Schizosaccharomyces pombe: one gene and its partner. The protein of the gene in region 2 interacts with the protein of the main gene of each other region in a biochemical or structural test. Each region holds a gene or a part of one and is shown on either strand. Other genes may lie near its edges. The genes, in order: mlo3 and mex67.

Evidence for each region.
Region 1: the proteins of mex67 (region 2) and mlo3 form a complex in vitro, tested with the Schizosaccharomyces pombe proteins (one study listed by BioGRID).

Annotation. Positions count from the first base shown.
Region 1 is NC_003423.3:1,737,706-1,754,044, forward strand, and holds mlo3 (RNA-binding protein Mlo3), read right to left. Parts: upstream 7,044-16,339; 5' UTR 7,008-7,043; coding exon 6,408-7,007; 3' UTR 6,263-6,407; downstream 1-6,262. Other genes in the region: mrpl7 (mitochondrial 54S ribosomal protein uL5m), read left to right, coding at 1,273-2,136; MAP kinase kinase kinase Byr2, read right to left, coding at 2,612-4,591; cyclin Clg1, read right to left, coding at 8,336-9,721; DNA-binding transcription repressor, glucose sensing, Scr1, read left to right, coding at 15,884-16,339. UniProt on the Schizosaccharomyces pombe protein: Has a role in the mRNA export process. Interferes with mitotic chromosome segregation when overexpressed.
Region 2 is NC_003423.3:2,399,542-2,411,918, forward strand, and holds mex67 (nucleoporin Mex67), read right to left. Parts: upstream 10,581-12,377; 5' UTR 10,554-10,580; coding exon 8,763-10,553; 3' UTR 8,611-8,762; downstream 1-8,610. Other genes in the region: eIF2 alpha kinase Gcn2, read left to right, coding at 1-1,913; pgs1 (CDP-diacylglycerol--glycerol-3-phosphate 3-phosphatidyltransferase), read left to right, coding at 2,212-2,696, 2,734-3,500, 3,597-3,853; toc1 (Tor complex Tor2-interacting protein 1), read left to right, coding at 4,040-4,162, 4,205-5,374; rpl35A02 (60S ribosomal protein eL33), read right to left, coding at 5,963-6,080, 6,212-6,420; DNA repair protein, SUMO-related Rad60, read left to right, coding at 7,291-7,393, 7,444-8,561; SPOM_SPBC1921.04C (uncharacterized protein), read right to left, coding at 11,510-11,863. UniProt on the Schizosaccharomyces pombe protein: Involved in the export of mRNA from the nucleus to the cytoplasm.

The DNA of each region.
Region 1 (16,339 bases), 660 kb from region 2:
CTCTTTTTATGTCTTTACCAGACGTTATCGTAATGCCTGGACACAAAACTAAAGTGTAAATTTGTCTTTCCTATGAAATGCTTGGTTTTTCATTAAAGTGTTACGAATTCGAAACATATATCTATGATTTTTGAGTATACACTGGCGGTATCTGTTGTTTAAGATAATTTAGTTTTGAGTTATTCGAGGCAATCAATTTCTTATCAAGTGTGATTCTCTTTTTAGAAAACCAAACTAAAAGTAAATCTATTGATCTTTTCAAGTATTAAGACAACTTGTTTTCTTTTGGATAAAATGCTTTTATTGTTGCATAATAGATTGATAAAGGTACGAAATGTATAAATGCATTATTTTATGTTGAGTACTTTACTCTTTCAGGATTGTGTTTGAGCTAAGCTTCTTGCATCTCTCATTCATCATCACACATCTATATTGAAAGGAAAGAAGGTAAAAAACGAACAAGAACAAAGTGAATACAAAAGAACGAATTGGATTAGTATTGTTATTGCATGAAAGTGATCTTATGACATGCATCACTATCCTATCCAAATAGTTTGTAGAGCCAGTTAGTAATAATACTTTCCAATAATTTGAATATGTGTGGCATGCCATTTGGCACGATTTTGAGAAATACAAAAATAAAATCATCTTGTAAAAGAAGAGCAATTAGCTGCTTTTTTATGTACCAGCTGAAGGAAAAACATTTGTTTTTCGACGTATAAAAAAAAACAGAAAGACATCAGCTTAAAGCTTTAAAGCTAACTTGTTTAAATAAGTTTGTAAGTTACAAGTACAATACTTTCTATTACACTTGGCACTCAAAATCGTGTGGCATATGATTATAACGATGCCTCGGATTTCCTTACTTGGCACTAGGTAATACGGTACACTAACCATGACAATACACTAGACAAACGCGAGCAATCTTCCAGCCCTAGTACCTAAGATCCATTGCAAAATTGTTTTGGTTGCGAGACTTACCTGTTTTATCCATAACCATTTGTTAAAACCTTCCTTTGAAGATTTGAGAAACAGGTATCATTTGTGGACATTGGTCTTTACAATTTCCTTGTTTCGTGATTATAAATATTTTTTCCCGGATTTGTGTTATTTACTATAATTTATTGGTAAATTATAACACAAGTGCTCATCTGCTTATAAAGCAAAAGGATTTTCACGAAAATTCCCTAGAAAGTAACCTGTTGTATTTTTGTCGCTTTTGGTTTCTCTTTGTCATTATACTTGTTTTAATTCATTTTTTAATTTTTAACAATGCTTGGGATAAGAAAAAATATCAGAATATCAGTTAACTTTCTGCAGCGAAGAACCATCACTGTAAAGCAAAAACTGGGCAAGAATAGGCCCCTACCAGGATGGGATCCAAATTCTGAGTATTTTCGTCCAGGACCCACCATGTTAAATCGCTTACAAGAACACTTGCATGATACCATTTTACCGGATGTATTAGCTGCTTCATATCGACATGACATAGATACAGCGTTAAGCACAGATGAACATACACAGAAAGACAGACTTCCAAGGTGGATTGGTGATAACCCTTATTATAAAAACCGGCCTCCTCAGAAAATGCGTGGTAATAAGCCTCTGTTACCAGTAAAGGAGTCCGTTAATCCTAAAAACCTTCCTTCTATTAGCAAAGTTGTCGTCAGCACTATGCATAAAGAAGCACTCGTTGACAAAACGCAGCTCTTGAGTACAATGATGGCATTTCGTTCTATAACGGGTTTGCAGCCCGAAATAGTCTATGCACGTAAGGACGTTTCTCCCTGGAAACTTCGTTCAGGTGTGCCAGTAGGTGTAAAGGTTACTCTAACTGGAGAATCTATGTATACATTTCTTTCAATCTTATCTGAGTTGGTTCTTCCTCAGCTTCATGATTTCAAGGGCCTGAGTCCTACAAGCGGAGATCAAACAGGAAACATATCTTTTGGTTTACCAAGTGAAGTCATGCCTTTATTTCCCCAAATTGAAGCTGTTTATGAGATGTATCCGCACTCTTTACCTGGATTTAACGTAAATATAACAACCAATTCCAAAGATACCCGTTTGGCTCGTTTTTTCGTCAGCAGTCTTATTCCATTTACAGATGGAAATAAGGAAGGCTATGTTGGATAGTAGACAATTTATTTTATATCTACTATACCTAATCTTTTCTCCTCAAGGAGTGAACAAAAAATCCCCTTCTCTACGACTAATGCATACATACGTTTTTGAGTTTTACTTGTTTAAGTGATAGAATTCCCGTAGATATGTGTTATTATATATTTATGTTATCGTTTTCACAAAGTAAATAAAAATAAAAAGTTTTTTCTTGAAAAGGAATAATCAATGGATATTTTTTAAACAAACTGAACATGTAAAATAGTATTTTTTTAGTAACTAAACTCATAATGGTATTTATCAAGGACATTCACAAAATCATTAAAAACATGAATATTGTAGAAAAATATAGCAACTTAAATCATACGGTTTATAGGTTAAATAAATTCATTAGTTCTAAATGGCATAAATGCAATGATAATGATGCAAAAAAACATAAAAAAGATAGATCGTAAAATAATGTTTCTGTTTTCATCATAACTTAGCCGGCTTATGAAACGAACGGGTGGCTCAACAACTCTGATGCTGTAGGTCTAAGATTACAATCTATGGCAAACGTTTTCTCAAGGAAATCTATGGCCGATGAAGAAATGTTAGAAGGGAATTCCGGCAGAATGTTCTCCCCAATTCTGAAAATGGCCTGCATTTGATCACAATTCGGATAAGGGTGCTTACTAGTGAGCATCTCGATTACCAAACATCCCAAAGACCAAATATCTGTTTTCTCCGTATGCATAGTTTGCTTCACCACTTCGGGAGCCATCCAAAAAGAAGAGCCTTGAAAAGAAGGGCGAGCACCACCCGTCTTCGTAGAGGTACTATTTAGTTCAAGTTTCTTCGATATCCCAAAGTCCGAAATTTTAATCTTCCCTTTATTATCAACCAAGATGTTCGCACCTTTTATATCACGGTGTACAATGCCGCGTGAATGAAGGTATTCTAAGCCTTTAAGGGTTTGCTTAATAAAGTTCTTGACTAGCGTTTCCTCAAAGCTTCCATACATTGTAAGCAATCCGGCAACCGACCCCCCAGGAACATATTCCAAAAAAATGTTCAAGTGGTCCGAATTTAAGTTAGAACCGAGATATTGGACAATATGCTCATGAGACAACTCCTGTAGAAGAGCAATTTCACCCGCTAATGCATCTAAAAGTTTGGCATGGCGGTCTTTTGATTCAGAAACAGAATCTAAGATCACTTGCTTAACAGCCATCAACTCACCACTAGATGCATTCATACCGAGATAAACTTGTCCAAACGATCCTGAACCTATTAACGCACCACGTATCCATTTGATAGACTGATCATCAGTGTCCTCTTCAAGTGTATTTGTGTCCTCACTTGTAGTGGAAGTTGGAGAAATTGGGGATGGTTGCTCAATAAATGATGGGGATGAACCAGGTGAAAAGGAAAGTACTTGATGGTTGCCATGCGCGCTTTCTGAAAAAACATTATACTTCGACGATTTTTCATTTCCGTTGGACTGGTATAAAGGTTCCACACCAACCATGGTTATGGATTTTTGAAGCGATGGTGGTCTAGAAATACGCTGAGTAGAAGATACAGTAAGTGGAGGATCAAATCCCCTATCAATCCTAGGAAGTCGGTTAACATCTTCAGCAACAGAAATCCTCAGAGAGGAAAGAGGACAAACCAATTCGGAAGGGCGAGCCCGCCGAGAGCTTCTTGGCAAAATTTCTTGACCAAAATTACCAAGATTGTGCCCTTGAGACGTACGTATGCTAAGGTTTCTACGAAGAGAGTTTGATATTGTTTTTTCCAGTAGCTTTGGTTGATGATCGGGGAAAAAATCGGAAATTCTAGAATTAATAAGCTCGCTAGGAGGTCGCTGGTAGGATTCAAATGGTTTCGCATTATTTGAGCGGACACTTCGTTTCTGAGTGCTCGTGGGAAGAACAGAGGAAAGTTTAGGAGAAAGGGAGGACTGTGATGATAATGCTGCCGGTTGAGCCAATTCAATCTCCCAAGAACGGCGGAGGTCTTCAAACGATGGACAAGGCTTTTCTTTTGGCACAATAATTAACCTGTCGCGTTCCGGTGAAGATGAATTAAAACAAATTTGTTTAAATTCTTCTTCAGTAATCAGCTTAATTCGACTACTCTGTGAAACGCATACAATGAATTTTGAAGCATCTTCAAGGCTAAACTTTTTCAAAGCAATAGCGAGTGTTTTCTGGTAATCTCCTCGTGATTGAACTGCTCGAGTTTGCCCGTTACAGGCAATAAACCTCAGTATACATGGACGTGGAAACTCTCGTAAATAGTCTCTTTGTTTTAAAAATTGTTTGCCTTTGGCGGTGTTTTCAATGCCTAGGTCTTTCAGTAAAGGCAAGGTTAAATGATTTAGGTGTCGTCCTTCAATGTTATTTTGTGAAAATTGTTCGATATACTTCTCCAATCCGATACTTTTCAACCATTCTGCTACCTCCTTCGAGGTATAATATTCCATAAATGCAGGAAAGTGGTTGTACAACGTATAACTTCTAAGTTCAAAGTTGGTAGCATTTACGTTTAACCTGCCTCCCTTAGTCTCGTGCTCTTTGACGTAACAATATAACTATACACTTTATAACCGATATTAGTTTCACTAAATCTCATTACCAAAATGAAGCTGCCAAAAAATTCGTAAAGGCTGCTTGTTTATATAGGTATTGCAATTCTCACCCGGCACAGATTCAGATATCTATTAAATAACACTTACGTACATATACGAGTTCCACAAGGAGTCTAAATATCGACGAGAAATTGTAATCAGATATTAAAATCTAAAACTTTCGTATAAACCATGTGTAGCAAGTGAATAATAATCTTTCTCTTTATCTGCAATACAAATGTCGTTAACCACCGTTCAGATACTACTGGTTTAAGGTACGAACGTAAAGTACTGTTTTAACAATTTCAATGTTTCAATCGGTTTCAGAGGACGGCAAGAATCGCGCACTAAAATTAGCAACCCGCAAATGCGCATTCTGAAAGCGATTTTTGGTTTGTAACACAATCACGACGGATCGTACAGATCTTTCAAAAAAATCAAAATTATAAGTGCCAAAAATATATGTGTGGGACTTCAATTTAAATTGTTTGATGTGACAATGGTTCGAACATAAAACCAAGCAATGTTTACCAAAACAAATTTCGAGATACGGTCGGCAATTCAACCATAACAATAATTTACAAATAATAATAAACGTCGGAAGCAAAAAAAACGGGAATGGAAGTGACTAGGGTTTAAAAGTTTCAAAAGAATGCATTGCGCGTAATTCATCAATCAGCGAGTTTAAAATGCAATCGTGGAAAAGTTCTATAAATGTGGTTTACATACAAAGGAAGGAATGAAGCCAGTTCTGTCATGTACAATTTGACAAAGATGAAATAGAGCCATCGAACGCGATGATTTTACGAATAGAAATTCCTCATCCAAACAAGCCGTGCCACATATAGTAAAACAAGACTTGGAATAAGTGTGACGTGAACCAAAAACCATCATGAACATAATAAACACAGTCAAGTTGGGGTATGGAAGCTTTGACTTTCAGCAAACATGCAATAATAAACCCTGTCGGTAAGCTCAACCCAGTATAGTTTAGCAACATGATGATCAAAACAGCTGCCTTGTACAGTAACTTAGATTAAATAAAGTAACAGTAGCCGAAGCTACCATTATCCACCTCTTTTAACCACTGTCTACATAGGTTTTGCTTTTGTATTAAACAAGAAGGGAGCGCTTATCAACCATAAAGGATTTCTGCACAAGAGCTGATAAAGTTGCAAACATAACAGGTGAACAGATATGCTAATAATGAACTCGACTCAAAGCTTAGCTTCTTGGTAGCGTTTAAGCTTGCATACTACAAATCAACAGATATGTCAAAAGTTAGCAAAAGTCAAAACCTCCAACCCAACGTTAACCACCGAAAAAGAAATAAGTAACCAAATTCGTTCGATGTCAATGAAACATATATGTCTATCAAAAAAGAGATATAAATAAAAAATTTAATGAAATTCTTTGAAATAATGGCATAATGGCAATATGACCCAATACACACCATATATACTAACAAGAACTGGTTCAGCTCACTTCTCCAAATCCATTACGAAAGACCCAAAACACAAAAACAACTTCAAGAACTGCCATTCGAAACAGCATTATATTGCCAATATTATTTAACTGAGGGAGTATGTTGTATAGGTCGTTATTAATACCAAGAAGCATTTGACATCTTCAAAATATATGTATATATAGTAGAATCTTCAAATTATTAAAGTTACTCCTTCTCATTTGATCCAAAATAATCATCCATCTCCTTGTCGAGCTCTTCGGCGGATTTTTTAGGACGATTAGGAGTTCTACGGCGGCGTGTAGTCTTCCGCTTGGAAGATTTGGCGCCATTCTTGCTAGCAGTGGCGCTAGCGTTGCTGGCAGGACTTACACGTGCAGCCAAAGAATTCAATTGACGACTAGGATCAAGGATTATCTCAACCTTCATTTTTCTAGTGCCATCAACCAAACGACCCTCATACTGTTCATAAGCTCGAGTGGCATCACCAGGACGAGAAAAAATGATAGTTGCAATACCTTTCGAACGACCGTTGGGACCGTAAGCCAAGGAAACGCGTTTGCAAGGTCCTATGGATTTCACAAAAAGCTCCTTAACTTGAGCCTCGGTAACGTCAGTAGGTAAGTTAGAAACAATAATTTTAGATTCCTCAGAAATGACGGATTTAAGGGCAGAGGCAGTGTTCACTGCGGGTTTCGCGTTCTTTGTTGGCTTTGGCTTGTTAGAGCGCGCACGACGCTTTCTAATACCTCCTTTAGGCTTTGAAGCAATTATGGCGTCCAAGGACTGATCTAATTCCATAGACATTTTTATCGAGTTACTGTTGGGTAGTTAGTTGTTGTTAGGTGGTAAAGTGGCGGGTGGGGTTTACAACTGATCAGGATCTAGGTAAGGGTAGTACACAAGGTGTCGATATTTAAAATTATTATTTTGTAGATTCCTAAATATATTTAGCGATGTTGAACGCTTACTTTAAAGTCTTCAGAAATTTGACAAAAAAATAATATTACAAATTAAACTTACTTTACACTTTATTGGCATCAGAACTAGGATGGACGCGTTCACTTATAAAAGTTGAGAGATTATTGATAAAACAGAATTTATTGTTTTTTTGGAAAGCAATTTTTGTAACCATAATACCAAACGTTTGATATGATGCCTACACGATTAGATAGATGCAAACGCTTCGCCGCTTCTTGGTAGCTTAACAATGCAGAATCTAGACAGAAGAATAACGATTATGCAATTTTTAGAAACACGGAAAACATTCAAAGACAACATAATTCAGAATTAAAAAGCACGATTCAGTGCAACAGAATCAAGTATAAGAGATTATATAAATCCGTTATCTCACTAGTAGACATACGACGAATGCGCAATAAAACTAGGTAATCATAACAAACAGTTTGGGAGTTGGAAAATCGCAATAAAAAATTTTATGCTTAATCCTTAGAAAACAGCAAGCAAAGGTTTCTCATTTAAGTATCAAAAGGAGAAAAAATAAACAAAATAAGGACAAAAACGATGCCCGAAGTAAAATCTTTGCTAATGAAACAGAAAAATAAACTCAAAGCATCCATGGGCCTTTTCATCTATTCACAATGTATTTCTTGATGAAGCTAGTTGTATAAGTAGACTACTAATTTTTGAAGGCGAACTTTAAAAAGGAAATCCGCGATCCCTATAGTAGTAGCGGATGTATATACATCAAGCAGTATTAACAAATCAGAATTGCATCAAAAGATATTCCAATAGATAACAAAGCCACACGAGAAAGCAAAATAAAAGTCCAACGACAAAAATAAAACAGATACTGATAAGAAGTTGGTTCCTTTTTTTCGGTATACTACTTTTCAATTTTTTTTGGGAAATTTTTTTTTTCTCTGTTAAAATTTGAAAAAATAAGAAAGTAGAAAAGCAAGATCAAACGGCAAATTAATTTCAAGAGAGCCGAATTCATCACGGAGATGATTAGAGAATACAATATGACGGGTTAAACAAAAGTTCCCGTCATACAATATGAAAAGAGAAAAAAGTTACAAGAATAACAAAAACACGTAAAGTGTTTATAAGCGCAAGGAAACGAAAAACAAACCCCGTCAAGCAACAACACCCGCAGAAAGTAAGCACGATCACTAAGTCATTGCATAGCGATTGTACACTGGATAATATCCCACGGGTGTATAGGGATAATAGTAGTTGCAATTAGAGCAAGAACGTCCAGAAGAGGGCGATGGTGGTGCGTTGGTGCTCAACGTAGTAGGGCTATAAGTTTTTTGTTCACCAGAGTATGTAGCGTTTGAGGAAGTAAACAAAGAATAAGAAGCACTCCACCACTCCCATGCCTTTTGACCACGAGGACCGGGACTAAGATTCCAGGACATGCTAGCTAGCCAGTCTTGTTCAAAGCTGTTCAACAAGGCAGTACGGAAACCAGTAACTTGCGACCAGGATTGATTGGTAAACGTATTGTCATCCAAAAACTTATTAGCCAAAATCAAGGCGGTCGTTAAAAGAGCACATATTTGGAAGAATAACGACTCCTTAGTCCACTGGTTTACAAAATCAGTCGTTTGAGATGCGGCGTCAAGACGATCGGAAAGGTATGACAAGGCAAGCAAGCAAGAGGCACGAGGTAAACGCGTAGACGTCAAAATTTGTGTAACGACCTTACGGAAAGAAAACACAAGACCAGGTAAAGAGTTAGCAAGAGAATGCATTTGAGCATTATTCAGGAAACGAGCATACAACTTACAAGTCATGATAGACAAGTATTCCACCATTTGATCCATCTTGTAATCCAGTTTAGCAGCAACACCTCCGGTATAAACGGTTTCTTCCTGATCCTCCATGTTAGTTTTGCAGACAGGAGAAATACGTTGTTGAACGTTAGCAACCGAAGGCATGTTAAGATTACCTGGGATTGTATTATCAGTCTCGGAGGTAGTAGTGGCGGTATTGTTGGTTACAGGCACATCTGCTACGGGATGTCGAGACTGATAAAAGGAAGGAGCACAATTGTTAGCAATCAAAGGGGCGGAAACGTTGTTACATGCAGCTGATACATTCACCGAATTGCCAAATTGATCTTGGTTAGGATTATAGGCAACGGCAGAGTCAGGCATATAGCGTTGCTGGGAGGGTGGTGGAGGTGCGGCAGATGGAACCGACTGATAAGATGGCCAGTAATAGTTTAGAGGCGCAGAAGGGTAGAGACGTGGTTGAGGTTGCTGTAAACGGTGCTGCGACAGAAGGGAAGGAACAGCGGAAGGATGATGAGAGGAGGAAGGGATGGAGAAGCCCGACCTTACCGAAAGCGTATCGGGCACAGAAACGCCAGGTAAGAAGGACGGACGACGCTGGCCAAGACCATACATAGGAGCATGACTCAACAAAGCAGCAACCGAAGAAGCAGAGTTTGCACTATTGCTGGACGAAACAGGAGCAAACATACTCAAGCCGGGGGCAGCCAAAGGAGGCTGAACTTGAGAACGTGAAGTGTGCTGATAAGGAAACGACATTGCTGAAGAATTTCGAAAAGGAAAGCAAATTGAAGAATTAAAAAAAAAATTTTTAACTCCTTTGCTATTCTACCTAATCAAGTCTTTTTCGAGTTTTGTAATCGATTTCTTGAGTACTCCTTTCAAGGAAAGAAGAATACAAAGGAAGAACGATAAAAAAAAATGAAAAAGAGATAAAGAATGCTCAACAATAAGAAATTTACCCAAGAGACAGGAAAAAGACTTATTAACACTCACTTCTAGCAAAACCCGACCAAGGAATGCTTGTTTCGCTGGCAAATAGACGAGGCTTAGTAAAAAGCTCGACTTCTGCAAAAAAACTGCTAATATAGAAGGAAAAAAATAGGATTGAACCCTCCAAACTAAATTTTACGGTGGTTGGTTGTGCGCAGGTTCTGAAAAGCTGGTAACGCAGTTGAAAATGCTTGCAACTTAGGAAAGAGAATTTTTTAGGAATAAAAAATTTCACTTTGTTAAGCACTGAAAAATAGCGTAGCGTTGAAGATTATTCAGCAAGAAAGTTAAACCCAAATTAAGATATCTAACGTAATAGATCGGTTAGATAACTTTATGGATTTTAATTAGCAATTGCCGGTGAGGAAAATTGGGAGCGAGGTAAACAAACAATGGGACAAGCAGGAAAAAAATCAAAGAAAAATAAGTTAAACGTAGCAAGACAAACAATAAGTATGTAAAGAGGAGAATTTGAAAGTTATCTAAATAAAGAAACAACTTGAGAAGTAAAAATCGAGTAGAAAGTGAAATGAAATGGAAGGAGCAATTAAAGAGGAGAGAATAAACAAGAACTGAGTATGATAGACGAAAAGTAGACGGAAAAAAGAAATTAAAGAGACAAGAGAAAATCAACTGGTGGATGTCTTTGTCGTATAAGAAAAGATGTATAAATAGAAATCAAAGATTAAAAAGGGAGGTAATGTTTACTTCAGCAAGTTGAGAAAAAAAAATTCAACAATTAGCTTTTCGAGACAATTTGGAGTGAAACGAAAAAAAAAGTAAAAAATAACAGTAAACAACAAAAACTGAAAAAAAAGGGGAGATGAAGAGCGAGTAAAGAAATCGGGTTTGTAATTATAAAAGGATAAGTAGGGATGAGCGATTAGATGAATGAAAAAACAGAGAGAGAGAGAGAGAGAGAAAAAGAAAAAAAAAAGGATTAAAAAGTAAAAGAAAAAGAAAAACAGACTACAAAATGTAAGCTGAAAAAAAAAAAAAAAAAAAAAAAAAAGTTGTTCAAGTCTCAAGACAGTATACAGTACGCAAACTTTTTTGAATAAGGGCTAACCAAAGCACTGAGTGAAGAGTGTATTGGCAGTTGGGGGGGAAGCCGTAGAAAGAAAGCAAGGCAGATGCTTTATATATATATATATATATATAACTATATGTACTTGAGTAAATAAATAAAAAGATGCGCGCATAAATACAATTGTAGCAGCGAAAGAAGAAAACGTAAACAAACAAACCAATGAAAAATTAGGAAACCAATGACAGCATGAATACTCAGGAAAATGAGAGAGAGAAAACGAAATTAAAAGAGGAGAGTGAAGGCACAGTAAAAGGAAAGGGAAACAAAATAACAAAGCAAAGCCAAAACAAAAACAAACGATGCTAGAAAAGAAGAAGGCGCGAAATCAAGGGCGCGCAAAAGAACAATTAAGAGTGTAGAGAAGAAAACGCGTGAAATTAAAAAATAAAAGGAAGAGAGGAAATGGGGAGGAAGGAAGGAGAAAACGCAAGCAAAGTTTGTTGATGTATATAGGCAAAAAGCCGTCGGAGCCAGAATGAGCATTAACGGAGCACATGAGAGGGAGACAAACCTTGTTGAGTGGAGAGTGGAAGGAGGGAAATGGAGGAAATCGTTAAATGGGATAATGAAAGAGAGAGAGAGAGAATAAGAAAAAAGAGCGAGGAAGAGTGGAGTGGTTGAGGGGAATAGTGGGGTGAAAGGAGGAGGAAGGAAGAAGGAAGGGAATGCAGGGAGTGATCGTTAAAGATTTGGAAGAGAGTGGTTGAATGAAACGGTGAATACGATAGTGAAATAGAAGGAGTCGATATGAGACTACGTGGATTGTCTTGTCTTACTAGTTCTAGGTAAACATCTGTAGCAAAAGATTGGTTCCTGCTGTTTGAAAATCATTTCATTTATTGGAGAATACGGTGGAGAAAGGAAGATCGCTAATAAGAAAAGGGAGAGGAAATTATCATAGGTTATGTTTGTTTTATTTTACATTGATCTATTGAAAGAAGGAGGTGCAGAGCGATTCTTGAAAAGGTCGTTTACGGTACTATGTTAGAAATTGTTAATGAATCTATTGGAAAAAGAAAATCACCCCAAGCGCTAACAAGTTGAAAGGAGCAGGCAAGAGAGAGTGCAAGGCAATAGACGGATGCAGAGTTGTGGCAAAGGAGGTGCGGAAGGAGCAGTGCGGTGAGGTAGAGAGGTCGAGAAAGCGACACTGTTGTAATAGGAAGAAAAAGGAGTGTTAGGGATGGCAATGGCCGAAGAAGCAAAAAAATAAACAAACAAGAAAAAGAAAAAGAAAAAAGACAAAAAGACAAAAAGAGTAGGCAATACACATGAAGAACAAATGATAAAATAAAAACTAGACTACGAAATAAAAAATAAATACTGAACTGTGAAATAAAAACTAAATTATGAAATGAAAAAATAATAAAATAATAAAATCAAAAAAAAAAAAGAATAATCATAATAAATGATAAATTAAATTTTTTCTTTTTTTTTTTCTTTTTCTCTTTTTTTTTATTTTTCTCATTTTCTGTCTCCTTTTTTAATTTCTTCAACCTGTCACATCATGAATATTGCTGCTGCCTTCTTTGCAGTCGAATGAAGAAATTAAAAAAATTTCTTTCCCACTAATGATGCTCCAATTGGGGTGGTAAAGGTTTGAGGGATGAAAGAAAAAAACAATTTTTTTTTTGCTGCCGATGTAGCGACGGAGGAATCTGTCACAGCAACAGCAACGATAGTAGTATTCCATCGTATTTTATCCCATACCATCATCATATCTCGTCCATTGTAGCTAGTAATAACACAATGATCCTATATGATTTGAATCAATACTGAGTGTGCTAGATATACACTTATACTTTTTGCTTCACTCTTAAATTCTCACTTCTCTTAAATGTTCACTTCTCTTAAATTCTCACTTCACTCTTATACTCTCACTACTGTAGTTTTTACTACTACAGTATTGATTACTACTACCAAATAAGGGGTATTTTCTTCCTACTGTAGCATAGTCTATTCTACTCTACGCTTCACTGCACTGCACTGCAATGTATTACACAAGCAAAATCATTTAACAGTCCATTTCTCTGTATACGCTACAATGCCTTATGAATGTTTAACATTTGACCAAGAGACTGTGTTTCACAGCACTTGGGGTTCCCCCACTTGACGCCTTGGGCTAAACACTGGGGGGGAGAGAAGGAGGGGGTTTGCATAGGGAAGAGGAAAAGACGGTTATGTTATTGCTTGATTAAGGAATTTCTTGTTTTATGGTTTCCTTAGTAAATGCCGCCATTCGGTGACCTCCACCTTTGGTGTCGAGGTTGAGTTTTCTAGATAAATAAACAAGGATGCTACGCTCGTCATCGCCGCTCATATCGACCCTTTTCAACAAGTTCTGGCTTGGACGAGTTTGTCCAGTTTAGGGACTCTCCGCAGCTTAATAAATTTGACTCCCGGAGGAATCAGAAGATGACGTTGACAAGAAAAAGCGGACACATTAGGGCTAAAAAAGCCAAATCGCCAAAAGTCTCGAATGGGGATGCGTTGCGATGCGATAAATGAGAATTACGAGTCGCAGTACAAGCACGGTCGAGAGAGAGAGAGAGAAAAAATGCAGTAGGAGGAAATAGAGAGACGAGATAAAGCGACAATATAAAATTCAAATAAAAAGACTTCGAAAATGGATTCAAGATTGTAAAATATGCACAATCATCAAAATAATTACCCAATTCATCTTTACAAGAATATTCAATTCATCTTTACATTATCACTATAATCATAACCACAACTTTAACCATCAAAACAATACACACCAACAAGAAAAATTCACTAAATTCTACCACCTATACATATTTAAAAAACAAACAAACAAACAAATACCAACACCAACACTTATATTTCATATGCTGTTCACCTCTGGTATTCCTCTTGTCTATACCTCTTCTCTTCTTCTCTTCTCCTCTTCTTCTCTTCTCCTCTTCTCCTCTTCTCTCGTCTAACTTTGCTTCACCTTGTTTTCTTACCTCTCCCCTTCCTCCTTCCTCCTCCCTCTCCTTCGCTATCTTCTCCTTACCCCACACCTCCCCACCCTCTCTATCCTTCCTTTAACCCCCCATCACCATTGCCCTCGTTAAGTTACTTTTTAGACTTCTCTCGTTAACCTTCATCCTTTCGAGCGCTCCGCCTTTCCACCTCGCCCATCTCCTTCCCCTCCTACCAGCAAGCGCCACCATATTTCTCTATCGACTGCGTTATTCTGAATTACAAAGTGGATCCCTTCCTCGTGCTCCTTTTACCCCTCCCTTTTCTCCAATTTTACCATATCGCAACTGCACTCGAATACGTAACAGCATATATATATACGAAACGTACCGCCCGGAGATCACTCCCCTCCTCGAGTATTTAGCTAACCCACACCCCGCGTTTTTCATTTTTAACCGCACACCACACCACCATACTCAAAGTAAATCAAGCTCCACCGGTAGTATCCCCATACTACCAGTGTGTGACAAAGTGAAAATTTTTTAATTTCAAGGCTTCAAGACTTGTTTGCTTGCTTTCTTCCATTTGACTTGGGTTTTCATAGCATTTCCTTCAGTTCTCTGCGTTGCCTGCTACTTTGGGATTTCCTTAGAGTCGTAAATTTTTTTTTTTCTTTCCCAATTTTTTCAATTTTCTCTTTTCATTCTTCCTTTTATTATTATTTTATTTTTAGTTTTATTCTATTTTATATTTTTCTCCCTTTCCTTTCTTTTCCTTCATTCTTCTTTTTTGTTTGTGGGTCTGTTTTTATTCTATTTTTTCCTCTTCTACTTCTTCTGTATTTTCCTTACATCCAACTTTGGAAAATCTCATCCATCCGTCTTACATTGCCTCGACTTTGTATCGACTGTTTTTTTCTCACCTCATCTGCTTTGCTTTGCTTTGCATTTTCGGATCTCAATCCGGTTCCTGTTGTATTCGGTCCGTTAATTTTTAAATTTGTCGCCTTCTCGCTACATCATTCCTCTCTTCGTTCGATCGAGGGATCCGTCTTTTTTCTTTCGTCAACAAATTGACTTGTCTATTCTTCCTCCTCTTTCTCCTTTTCTTTTTTGTCCATCCATTAGTCCTTCTGTGTGTTCGTCTTCCATTGCCACTCACATAATCGTCTTGTTGGATCCTTTTTCTTGACTCCCATTCAATCGCCTTTTTTTTATCTCTTCGTATAACTTGTTGAAAGTTTGGCTGCTTTTTTCTTTTTCAAGCTTTCTTCCTCTTCGTCCTATACTTTACTCCGCCTTTAGAAGCTTTCTTCCCATCCGCCATATCTATATCTATTTTATCTATTATTATATATAGGTGATCTTGTTATATTGTTTTCCTTTTCATTGGTTCCTTCATTGGCATTTTCTATCAATCTCTCTTCTTCGTTTACATTGCCTTCCTCCTCGTAAACATTTTCCTTTTTTGGCTCTCATCTGTCCAACAAAGGATCCTGCTTATTCCTCTTTTTTACTTCAATTCTTTTTATTATTATTTACAAAGTTATTTTTTTCCCAAGTTGTTTTCGTAATCTTTGGAACTTTCGTTTGGGCTCCTTTGAAGCATTCAACTATATAACTTTGAATTTTATTTTTTCCAATCCTCTCTCATCGTTGAAATTTCTTCTCGTTATTAACTAGAATTCCTCTAATCTTCTTTTTTTTCTCTTCCAGCGATTTTTTTTTATTATCTTCACTATTACTATTATTATTATTATTATTATTCATTTTTTTCTTTAAACGGTCGTTTCTTTCTCTTTCTTGGGTGAAATAAGCTATTTTTTATTAAATACTACCCTTACTCGTGCTATTTTTTTCTTCTCTTTTTTTACTTCTCCTTCTTTGCCGTGCTCTGTTTATTACTTCGTCATGTCCGAAGCCACCACTGCCACAACAACCGGTAAGCCATCCCGCTCTACCAAGAATCCTGACGCTCCTCGTCCTTACAAATGCCCACTATGCACCAAGGCCTTCTATCGTTTAGAGCATCAAACCCGTCATATTCGAACGCATACGGGTGAAAAGCCTCATGTTTGTACTTTTCCTGGGTGTGCCAAACGATTCTCTCGTAGCGATGAATTGACGAGACATGCACGCATCCATACAAATGCAAACTCTAGAAGGAACGCTGCTGCTGCCGCTGCCGCTAATAATTCTGCTAGAAGCTCCAATTCTCCTGCTGGCAATTTAGAACCATCTACAAACAATGCTGGTGTGCATATGACCAATGCTTCAATGAATCCTAATGTGAATCCTTCCTACCCCGTGTTCATTCCTCAAGTTGGCATGTCGGTTGCACCTCCCGTCGCCACTGCCGCCGTTTCC
Region 2 (12,377 bases):
CTCCTTATTATTTAAAGCTTCTGAAAGTTTTATTCGGCCAAGTGCCCGATCGTCATAAAGACTTTACTTACGACTTCAACCTTAGTGAAGAAAGTGGAGTGTTGTCGAAAGTGTCGGATAGAGGATGGGATAGTTTGTTAGCTTGTTTAGTACGTGATCATGTAGTTAAAGTATTTCGTCGCCATGGAGCCAAGGAACGTGAGTCACATATTCTATTCCCAAAGTCTTCTCAATACGATAAAGACCAAGCTTCTGTTTCCCTACTAGATAAAAATGGTACCCTTTTACAGCTTCCATATGATACGGTTCTTCCTTACGCGAGAAATGTTGCTAGAAACGCTGTGGAAGAAGAAAAGACGTACTTAATTTCTGACGTTTTTCGGGAAGCCAAAGGTGGAGGGAGACCAAAGGCTATAAAGGAAATTTCATTTGACATTACCACGAATTCTGATAATTTGGATTGGTATGATGCAGAAACAATCAAAGCATTAGACGAAGTATTAACAGAGATACCATCCTTGACAGAAAGTTGTATCTTAATTAATCACGCTGACATTCTTTCCTCCATTCTTGATTATTTACAAGTATCAAAGGATAAAAGACGCATGGCTACTCATATACTTGGACAAATCAACCAACGCTTAACATTATCACAGGTACGGAACCAGCTTCGTATTGAGTCATTAGTTCCCTCTACCACCTTAGACGATCTGAGTTTGTTTGATTTTCGGGAAAATTATGAAGAAGGTGCTAGCAAACTTAGAAAAATTTTTGGGAAGGAAATGCCACAGAAAATGAGAACTGCTTTAAATTATATGGAGCGAGTGGTTAAATTACTTCGAGCACTAAAAATTTCTCATCAGTTATACTTCATGCCTTTATGTGTTTATAACTTTGAGTTTTACGATGGAGGTTTGATGTTTCAAGCAATTAACTTGGCGGAAAAATCTGAACTCATTTGTGCTGGTGGTCGTTATGACAAGCTTGTACGCTTTTTCGATCCTCCTCTAATGAGAACTGCCAGAAAAAAGCATGTTGTTGGAATATGTTTTGCCCTTGAAAAACTAGTATTTTCAATGCTGCGATATATTCGATTTCACAATAGTAAGCAGTCAAGCAAGCATTCTCCTTCACCAACTTTAAAGTCTGTAGGCCCTTGGGCACCAAGGAGAGTTGATGTCTTAGTTACTAGTATTGGCAAGGATTCAATCCTAGAAAAATGCTCACTTTTGCAAGAGCTTTGGGCTTTAAATATCCAAGCGGATATAGTTTTAAGGGGTGCTAGCAGTTTAGAAGAGATTGTAACACACTATCGAAGTGAAGGCATTAATTGGGTTCTCGTCGTGCGTCAGAAAAATACCCAGATGGAACATTCAGTCAAGGCTCGAAATATTTTAAAAAATGAAGATGACGAAATACGCTTTGATGAAGTTGGGATGTGGTTGCTGGGAGAAATTAATGAAAGAAAAAGAAACGAAAGCATGTTACAGTCGAAACGTATATTAGACTCAGCTCAACAAGATGTTGCAAAGTTCGTTGACACCTCTCAATCCAACCTCGACGTACAGTTGATCTCGCTTAAAGACGTTAATGATAGAAAGTATAAATGGAAACACAAACAAAATGCTATGAATAAAGTTTATGATCTAGTGCAGTCAGCCATTCGTGAAAGCTCAGAAGATGCTATTGCTTTAGCAGTGGATTGCGACTCAGAAGCTATGGAAAAACTTCGTAGTACCACTACGCTTGATGAGGAGTCTTGGAAACGTTTAATAGAAAGTTGCCCAGCTTCTCAAAGGGAATATATGCAGAGACTGCAAAAGAAACTTGTCACCCTTGCAGAACAAGATAAGAAGCGGGTTTGGATATGCTCATTCAGGACAAACGAAATTTATCTTTATGGACTTAAATAAATTTTGAACTAATTAATCATTTAATTTTCATTACTCTTTTAATTAAATAGAAAAAATTTTGCTATAAATTACTTTAAATGTGTATATTTCGTGATCGGTATATTATTTTTTGTTAAGTAAGTTAGAGTCAATTTGATACTTTTTATTTTTAATATAACATGGAAGTTCTGCTTTTATACCATTTTTCTCTATATTTCACGTTCAAATTACCGTTGGATATTGACCTTTCTACTGCATGAACGGGTTTGCAAGCTCAATGTATCTCACACTAACCTAGCACACCAATTTAAACAGCCTAATGGATGAAGGAATAGAGAAAAACATATTTGTCAACTTGGAATCTCAGATTGACGGTGTGTGTCCCAAATTCTATGTTAACGTTGATGATATTGATATCATTCATGAACCTCCTGAGTTTTATCAACGCTTGAAAAAATTAATCAAAAAAGCTCAAAAAAGAATATTTCTATCAACGCTATACATTGGAAAAGAAGAGCGAGAATTGATCAATTGTCTATCAAATGCGCTAAGCAACAATCCCTCTTTGCATGTTCACATTCTGGCAGATCAATTGCGGTGTACTAGGGAAAGCCCTGGTTGTTGCTCTGCATCTCTATTAATGCAATTGAAAAAGAAGTTTCCTGATAGATGCGAAATCAAGCTTTACCATACACCGAATTTGCGTGGACTAAGAAAGCAATTGGTTCCACACAGATTTAATGAGGGATGGGGATTGCAGCATATGAAAATATATGGTGCAGATGATAACCTCATTATCAGCGGGTAAAGGCAAATGATTATTTACTATACTAACGAATAGAGCCAATCTTTCGAGAGATTACTTTACAAATCGAAAAGACCGGTATTATTTGTTTAGTGATAAGGGTTTAGCGGACTTTTTCTTTAAAACGCATTTTTTGTTTTCACAGCTTTCTTTTGAGTGTATCCCTCATTTATCCGATTCCTCAATTCAACTATCTTCTACGTCCCCGGTTATTCCTTTTACTTTGAAATGGAACAATTCATGTCCAAATCCTTTAACAAATCCTCAAGAGTTTCGGGTAGCAGCTTCTGCTAAAATTCAACAACTTCTTCAGGGGAATCGAGAGAAATTCTTGTCTCGCAACCCTTCTAAACCGTTATCATCAGTATATGGCTCTGAATTAATTAATCAAGCAGGTGATGACAACAATAAGCCATTTCATAAATATGAAGAATCTGCTATCGTATACCCACTTTTTCAATGTGTACCTATCCTTACTTCTGACGTACATTCTACTGAAGAAAAGGTCTTGTCTATAATCGGGACCTTGCTATCGCGCAAGGAGGTTAATTGGACCTTAACGGCTGGCTATTTTAATGTTTATCCAGCACTTAGAAAACAGTTGTTGAAATCTGAAGGTATAGGGGAAGTAATCGTGGCTTCTCAACAGGCTAATGGATTTTATCGATCTCCTGGACCATCGAAATTAATTCCACCAGCGTATCAGTATATTGCTGAACAATTTCTTAAAGATTCAAGAAAGAAGAAAAGAAATATTGATGTCTTACAATGGCAAAATAAGGGGAATACATATCATGCTAAAGGTAAACACTACAGTCTGTCGTTTTCCATTATAAATATTTTTTGGAGCACGGCACTTAAGTCATATATCTTTGAAAAATTCACTAACACTATTTTAGGATTTTGGTTGAGTACACAACATCACAAGCATCCTTTTTTAACGACGATTGGGTCTTCCAATTATACGAGTAGGTCTCAACAGTTGGACCTTGAATCCACCTTAGTTGTAATGACACAGAATGAAAAATTAAAGAGAAAATTTTCTACTGAAATTGAACTTATTAAACAGCACACAAAGCCTATGAATACCTGTCAGTTAGAAAAGGTTCCTATGTATGTGAAGGCTTTGACTTCTCTCATGAAGAAAAAATTATAATATGAATTTAATAAAATTTATAAATAAATTATCAAGAATTAGATTTTTCGGCGTTATTAAGCATGTAGTATAGCACAATACTGTATCAATTATATTACATCGACAACGGCGTACCTAATTCTTGCCAACGCCGATCTCACTGAGCAACGCGATTCGAGCGTTGACGAAATCTTCATAGTAGATTTAATGCAATTGCAATCGCCATTTGGCGATGGAATAAGTTGTGAATGTCTCAATATACGTGTTTTAGGAATTCCTAATGAAACCAAACATCAATGGATATTTGTTCCTCGTGATCTCATAAAAATTGTACGCTAACCTTAATGAAATCAAATATAACTAATTCAATAGAAAATTTATAGTTTATTGCAAATATGCAAAGCTGAAAATTGTTCAGCTGTTGCTTGTCGAGGCTGCAACTTATGTATTCTTGCTGTGCAGGGAAATATTGAAATATCCGAGGAACCGCAGAAATTATTTCAAGAAGAAAACGTGAAAGTTTACATATACGATTCAGCTATTTCTCTTTCTTCTGTAAGAGCATCTTTTCCTATTTCAGAATTGGGCATTCGAATGGACATAATTAAAGCGCGAGCTGAACCTCGGGAAGATGAAATACGGGCTTCATTTTCTTCACTAGTAAACAAGGAAATTAAGCGTACAGTCGAAGAACTTTTGTTGTCAAAGAGATCAACAAATCGTTTATCACTACTTGCGTTTATGCGTAATCAGCAACTCAACTATGAAGCCTACGAAACTAAATTGTTAGAAGATGCTTCGACAATTGAGAAATCACTAGAGAAGGAAGTGAAAACCATATATGATAGCAATATCGCATCACCAAAGGAGTCGAGTGATGCCATTGATGCTGACCATGCCATGATCGACGAAAGTCGGTCTACTCAACGTCGAAAATCGAAGCCAAAAAAGCATGTTGCTTTTACTGATGAATATCAAGTTGCCTTTTCGGACAAGCCCGGCAAGTATTTTAACCAGCCAATGCAGTATTCCAAACAGTTCAAACTTGACAACCCAGACTATGAAGCGTCTTCGGATTCGTTAAACGATATAGAAAATCTATCTACTTTAACTTTCAGATCTGATGAAGAACTTGAATTCGATTTTGACACAAACAACATAAATAATAACAAATCGGGCGATTCACTTGAAATGTCAACCACGATTCCGAGCGACGAGGAAAATGAAGATTTTACTAGCAAAGTGGATGCTATGGAAATTCACTCAGGAAGTTTACCATTAAATATTGATTCTTCTCCTATATTCACAAATCATTCTCCTTCGTCAAGTCTTAGCTCAGAATCCTCCTTTGAAGCCTCACCCTCTTCGTTTGTCGATCGGAAAAATAGATGGATCCAAATGTTGAAAAAGGCAGACGAACATAGTCGAAGTATCCAAGCCCGAAGTATGGGCTATGTATTAAGTGATGATCTTGACAATTCAAAAGCTTTTAGACCTTATAAACAGTCGTTTTTGGCTCAAGGTTGGAAGAGTTTAAATTGAATAGCGTCTATGTGTTTTATCTTTACAATTTAGGACTATTTCTTGCGCTCCTTTTTTTCTCACAAAGAATGCTTGATGATTTTGTTTCGTTGATAATAATTTTGCTATTATTTTATACTATTTTTAAATAATTATAGTTGGGGTTAATAATTGATTTGCTTTTGATTTGTATGATCGACAGCCGATTATAAACATGCTCGACAGTATTCGATCGAACTACCTGCATAAACAAGGTAGTATTCAGTACTAAAGGTTAGACGCCAAACTAGTGAATTTACAATACCTAAGTAATTGATGCAGTGTTGCCCATCAACACCCTAAGAACAGACGACTGAAATGATACTTCGTGAAACGATTCTCAAAAGTTACCTATACAAATTTACAGCTTTTGTTATTTAACATCAATATTGATTAAACTTAAATTAATAATTGTGTTTTAATGTACCAATTACAAATTCCTAGTGAGTAAATAATACCAAAAGCATTGATTACTTTGTATAACAAACGAGGCTTTCGATAAAATGGGATTCCCTAAATAAAATAAATCTAAGAAGCAGAAGAATTGTTGTGAACATAAAAATATTTTATTTAAACATTGGAGGGATAAAGCATGACACGGAGAGAGGCACCAAAGGTCTTGGGAGGAAGATTATGGGTGAAACGAGCACGAACAACACCAGAATTTCCATGAGGACGACTAACAGTTCTAAAACGTAATTAGTAAAGGTTTTGAATGTATTCGTTTAGCCAACAAAAAACGACCGTGAAAATATAGCATTAACGTTTCTTCATATTCTCCAAAGAAACGCAAGAATTTAATTACAAAAATAAACTTACCCCCAAATGACACGAATCTTGGATCCACGAACGGGCTTGTTGCTTTTGTAGACGAAGCAAATACGCTTGCCTAGGTAAAATTGGGCTTCTTCCTTAGAATCACATCCCTCAATCTTTACCAAAGAAGTTCCTGGGTGGATAACATGTTTGCTTCTTTGAAAAGAGAGATGTTTAGCTTTAACGTACAATCTGTGTCCCTGAGCAGGCATTTTGACTTGGTAAAGGCGGAACTCTTAGTGTGGTGATCCTTACCGTTTGCTTAAGCTGTGACTGCCCTTCTTGTGCTTGCAAAACCTAAGCTTGTGTTGGTAGTAAACACTTTCATAAATCTAGCATAGTGTAACGTACTTCATAATCTTATTGATTGCGATCATATAGCTTAATTCATTATATAATCTTAAAAAGATACTCTTCAATTTTTTAAAATTATCTCTCACTTACCAATACAGTATAGTGTAAAGTTTTTCTAATGATCAATATAAAGTAACGGGGACTAACTTGATAATATTCGATTTTGTTTACATATTATTGTTTAGTATTATATCTTGTACCTGAATAGTCTACTACTGAATATAGGAATATCGGCTGATTAAACCTATTCATTGTATCTCTAATAGTACAACAATTTGGTTTTATCTGAACTAAATAAAATTTATTTAGCGAATGAAGAACAAATTATGAATGGCAGTAATGGACGGACGCAATGTAGCCGTCGTAAGGTGAGCCAATGTCATTGAAATTCATCAAACCTAATGTCTCAGTACAAGAAGCAAAGAGTTTTCAAATTACTTAACCTAAAAAATGAAATTCTATAGACTTAAATCTGTTTGCTAAGTGGACAAGATCGGGTTTTGCGTAAGTAAACAAACTTCATTTCGAAGATGAGTTGGAGGAATGTTCATTGAACTTTTTCAATTGAATTATAAAATTATTATATAACTTTCAAAATCGATTTGTAATAAACTTGAGTGAAAACAAAACTAAGCTAAAAATTACCTAGTTTAAGGTGTGTCGCTACAAATTCTCGTTAAATCCATAAGAAGCTTTGTGGAACCACCGTAATTGCTAAAACTCGCCAAATGGACAACCTAGATGAAGATGACTTAGCATTCTTCTCAAAGCCTATTAAAAAGCCTCCATTAAACTATGCCAAGCAATTAATAGCCTCTTCCTCAGATTCTGGTAAGTTTTAATTCCGATTGCAAAGTGTCAGCTTGCTTACAACATTCTAGAAGAGGAAAGTGAACTTGATACCAATAAACAAGCATTAGAACACATAAATGCACAGAAAAATATAACTCATAATGAAAACAAAAGTGCCGAACCTTTATCTCGTCAATCCACTATTTTAGATGCTGATGAAGGCAACCAAGACGTTTCAGACACTACTCCTAATGCGTGTTTGAATGAAGGTAGGCACTCACCCAAAAGTGCTATCTCCTGTGTAACACAACCGGTTTCACCAGTTTATAATACTAGGGCGGCCGCTAACTTGCGAAACAACAGCATTAATAGTGAGGCTGCGCTTTCTACGACTTCATCACTGCTGGACGATGACTTTGCTCGTAGGTTAGAGGAAATTGATCGGCAAGTTCAGGAGTTTGAAAAATCATCAAGTGATATGGATGTACAAATTCACACGCATAAGAGAGAAATTGAAGAAGACGATGACAATACTTCGGCTGATGTGCCCCTTTTAAAGCATTCAAAAAGTGACCACTCAACGCTGTATCACTCCAAATCGGAATTCTCAACAAATGAACCAGTTATTTCCGTCGTTCTCCAGTTAGCCGTAATTGGACAGAGAATTCCAAACAGCAATATCTCTCTTCCCCGGGACTGGGAGGCACCGTTATTTTTCAAAGTTAAGTCGAACCAACAGTTTCGTCGTGTCAGAATAGCGTACTCTGAAAGAAAAAAAGTAGATAACGTTGTTCTTGTATTTCAAAATCAAAGATTATGGGATTATGGAACCCCAAAGGGCGCTGGTATGCTTAAAGTCGATACCCGTTTGGTTGTGCATGCCTACTGTCACTCGGATTTTATATCACTCAAAAGAATAAAAGAATTGGAAGTGGAAAAGTTATCCTCGGTAACTGAAGATTCAACTGCTCAAACGTGTAAACTTATAACGTTGCTTTTGCGTTCGAGTAAGAGTGAGGATCTTCGTCTCTCAATACCCGTCGATTTCACTGTTAAAGATTTGATTAAGAGATATTGTACTGAAGTAAAGATTAGTTTTCATGAACGCATTAGATTAGAATTTGAAGGTGAATGGTTAGATCCCAACGATCAAGTGCAAAGCACGGAACTTGAAGATGAAGATCAAGTTAGTGTTGTTTTGGATTAAAAGGATATTTGGCTCTTACTTTTACCATTGTTCTTTCTTATATTTAATTACCGCCATAATACTTTTATAGAATGATCACGAACGACTATGTATAAATCTAACTTATTCATTTCATCAATATGTACCATTATTAAATAAAAGTTTCCATTTCCCCAGTTTGTAATTTTTTAACCATATCTATCTATACACGTCACTAGAAGTTCATGAAAATGCTTCGGCTGGTATAACATTTCGCGACTTTAATTCCAAAAAAGATGCTAGAGCGCTGTTGTAATCCCAATTATTTTGCTCACAACACATGTGAGCATAGTAATCATTTAAACCTGTCTCCGCCTTAATTTTTAATACAATTTGTTGTCTAGTGTCTAACATTGCTTGTTCCGGTCTTGGCTGTACAATATCACTAGGCTTTGAAGCAGACGCAGACATGGCATTATTGCTTGTTCGTACACTGCTTTGACCAGGTAGCCACCCGAGCGATCCAGCAAATGAACGAATGACTAATAAATCATTTATAATCAATATGCCTGTGGAACCTCCCGGCAAAATCAGCAAAGTTCGATCAAAACTTCGTAGAAGTCGTTTGTTTTGTGGTTCCTCAAATTGCCCATGGACAACAATTTTGATGGCTGCACCAACCGAAGGCAGAACCAGGTTCCAACCATCAAAAACCCATTGCGAACGGTCTGATAAATCGTGAGCCGTAGCAGGTAAGGATTTTACAGCGTTGCTTATTTCTTCGTGCCCGTTAAATAAACGAGATTTCGACTCCTTCTGTGATTGTGAGTAAAGTAGATTTCTGCTTTTCATTTTGTAAGCTCCCCATTTTTTAGTGTCTGTTTTCTGAGAAAAGTTCGTTCTAACGTTTGAAGCGTTCAGAGAGATTGAGAAGGTAGCATTTGGACTGTATAATTGATTGACAAGTGCACTTCTATTCTCATCCCAACCTTTAAAGAACGCAGCCAAAAAAGAATTGACTATTTGTTCGGTTTCAACCTTATCAAAGAAAGATTGATAAACCGGAAAAGGGACGGTAGATTGAGAGGCGATAATCTCTGAATTTATGCTGTTACCATCTAAAAGACGAAGCTTCGGAAAACGCGAAACCATTTCCCGTTGATAATCCATAGCACGATTAGCAAAGGTTGTGACAATCGGGTTTCCGACAAGAACAAGCTCTTGGAGTTCGGGAAGCTTTGTTTTGGGGGACCATGGATCCAAGTCAGATAAAGAAGTAATCCGGTTATTAGCAAGACTAAGGTTTAAAAGTTTAGGCCATGTTTGTGCTAAAGTGGTTACGGCAGTCACCGATTGTAAGTTGTTATCCGACAAACTAACTGATATAACGTCTGGAAAGTTTAAAGAAGCAACCTTCATTAACGCTGGAAACATCTTACTCTTAGTAGAAGCCTCTGCTAAAATCCCCATTTGCTTTAAAAGAGGATCTTGTTGCAAATTTCCGAGGTCCAAGAATTTAGTAGCAGGTTGATAACGGGTTTGCAAAAACTGGCGTAACTTTTCAATGGTCTCATTTGTGGATTGTGGTAACGTTTTTGAAACATTTCTCTGGGCTTGTGTTGCTAATGCAGATAATGAAGGAGCTGAAACAGAACGAAATGATCGTTTTGTCTTTGCTTTTCTATAATCTTGAGTAACGTTAGAAGCTCCATCGACCCTTCGTATAGCCAAATGATCACCAGCAAAAGCCGCACCATTTAACCCGTTCAAACGACTAAAGTCTTGGCTTTTAACTACGGCAGTGACCGAAGCCGGAGAATATGAAATGTTCATTAGACGAACCTTGACTTTTCTCCAAACAAAGCTTATTAAGTCGTCCTCAGAACCCTTGGAATGACCAGTAATAACTACGGATATCGGGGGTTCACGCGTGGCACGAGGTTTGCCTGGTGTACGGCGTTTCTCCAATGGTGTATCAATTACCATTTCATTCTCTTTAACAGCATTACGACGCTCCCGCTTTCTACGCAACATTTTGCAATTATGTTGAGTAGTAAGTGTGAAGAGAAAGAGAGTAAGTGGAATTTAATTCAACATTTTTAACTTCAATAGTAATAGGACAAGTATAAGGAGTAGAGATGTGTACGCGCAAAACTGCGTTAAACAGTTAGACTATTTGTGATATAACGAGAAACTGTTAAATGCGTTATTCGTCTTTTGCTATGCTTGTATCGATGGAATTTGTGGAAATACATTTTTTGTTTTAGTTTATTTTATTGAAATTCAAAAAAATTTATATGAGGCTAATATAAAATCGTTTACTGTTTTTTTGTAAAATCACTATTGATATAACTCAATCGACCACCTAAAATTCGACCTCCATTAACATGAAAATTCAGGAGTAAATTTTGAAGTAAAGAACAGTTTAGTCAGTAAGACTTCCGAACACTAATTCCTTAAGCAATATATCAATATATGTGTCCCGCTAATTCTTGTTTTATTGCATGTTTAAAGAGATTGAGCACTAAGCAACGTAAGTTTTTGATAAATCTGGGTTTCATGAGCCAAAAAAAATAAACATTTTTTGGTTTTTTTTATTTTTTTTTTGGCTTGGATATCTATTTTTTGTTTAAATCGATTATCTACTAAATTTATGTATTCATTTTAATGGAGAAGCAAAATTACTATTTACAATTTTTTATTATTAACTAACAATATGATCGCCTGCACCTTTATCAATTCATATCATAAAAATATGTACTTACTTGTGAAAAAATGCCTGCTTATTTTTTTTATTTTCTATCCAGTATAATGCTCAATTCTGCTCAGTTATTGATGTAGACAATATATATAATATATACGTATAGAATAATTAATTGTTGTATAACAATGAAGGGTCAACTTAAAAAATGAAAGGACTAAATTTCTACAGAAATCGATTAAAAAAGTGTTATTTTATTTTCATTTATTTATTTTGAACAGCACTTGTTTTATACTTTCCTTGACATTATCGTAACCTCAATAGGATAATAACCTGAAAATGCAGCAAACAAATTACTTAAAAGGGTAGGGTTTAAAAAACAGTCACAAAGGTCTATAAACGTGAGTTTGTTAAGTTGAAGTTTCCCTATCGTGCGGTTATATACCGACGCCCACAATTCGTGTTGCTCACTTTTCTTTTTCTTTTTCCATGGAATGGTTTGAGCGTCATACGTGGGCCAGAGCCATATTGGACATCTTAGTGCCCTTACAGGAATAGTCATATTGATACTTTTTCTGTGGGTCGGTAGTTCAGATAGCTTTTTGCTTTGTAGTATAAGTTTTAAATTTTTTGTATGACTCATTAATGTTTTTTAATTCATTTTAATATTATTCATGTTATGTGTTGGTTGTATTTGTCTGTCTTGTGTAAATTTTGGTTGTATTCGTGGGTTTTAAAAACCTGCTGTTTACTTAATTTTGAATTATCGAAATTTCTTCCATTTTTTAGTGTTATAGGGACAGCTTGTTTGTCGGACAGGATACTCAATGGGTTTAACAAGCTACGTTCATTTCTATTTTGTCACTATTATGGCTGTAATGTGAAATATCATAGTTGATTGTGCCGTGGATAAAAGAAAAAATCCTAGTGTTCTTTGCTCTGTCTTCTCCACGGGTATTAACAATGCACATGCTGTATGTCGTTTAACGTTTAGATGCATTTCATATTTGTTCACCTTATCGTTATCTCTGTTGTATCTATTAAGTTCCCACACTGGGGCACTAAAATGGTGCGGAAGGATCCTATAATCGTAGGAGTCGTTGGTGTTTCTCTGCAATATCCGAGGATCTTATCTTATAAAAGGAGGTATACGGCAC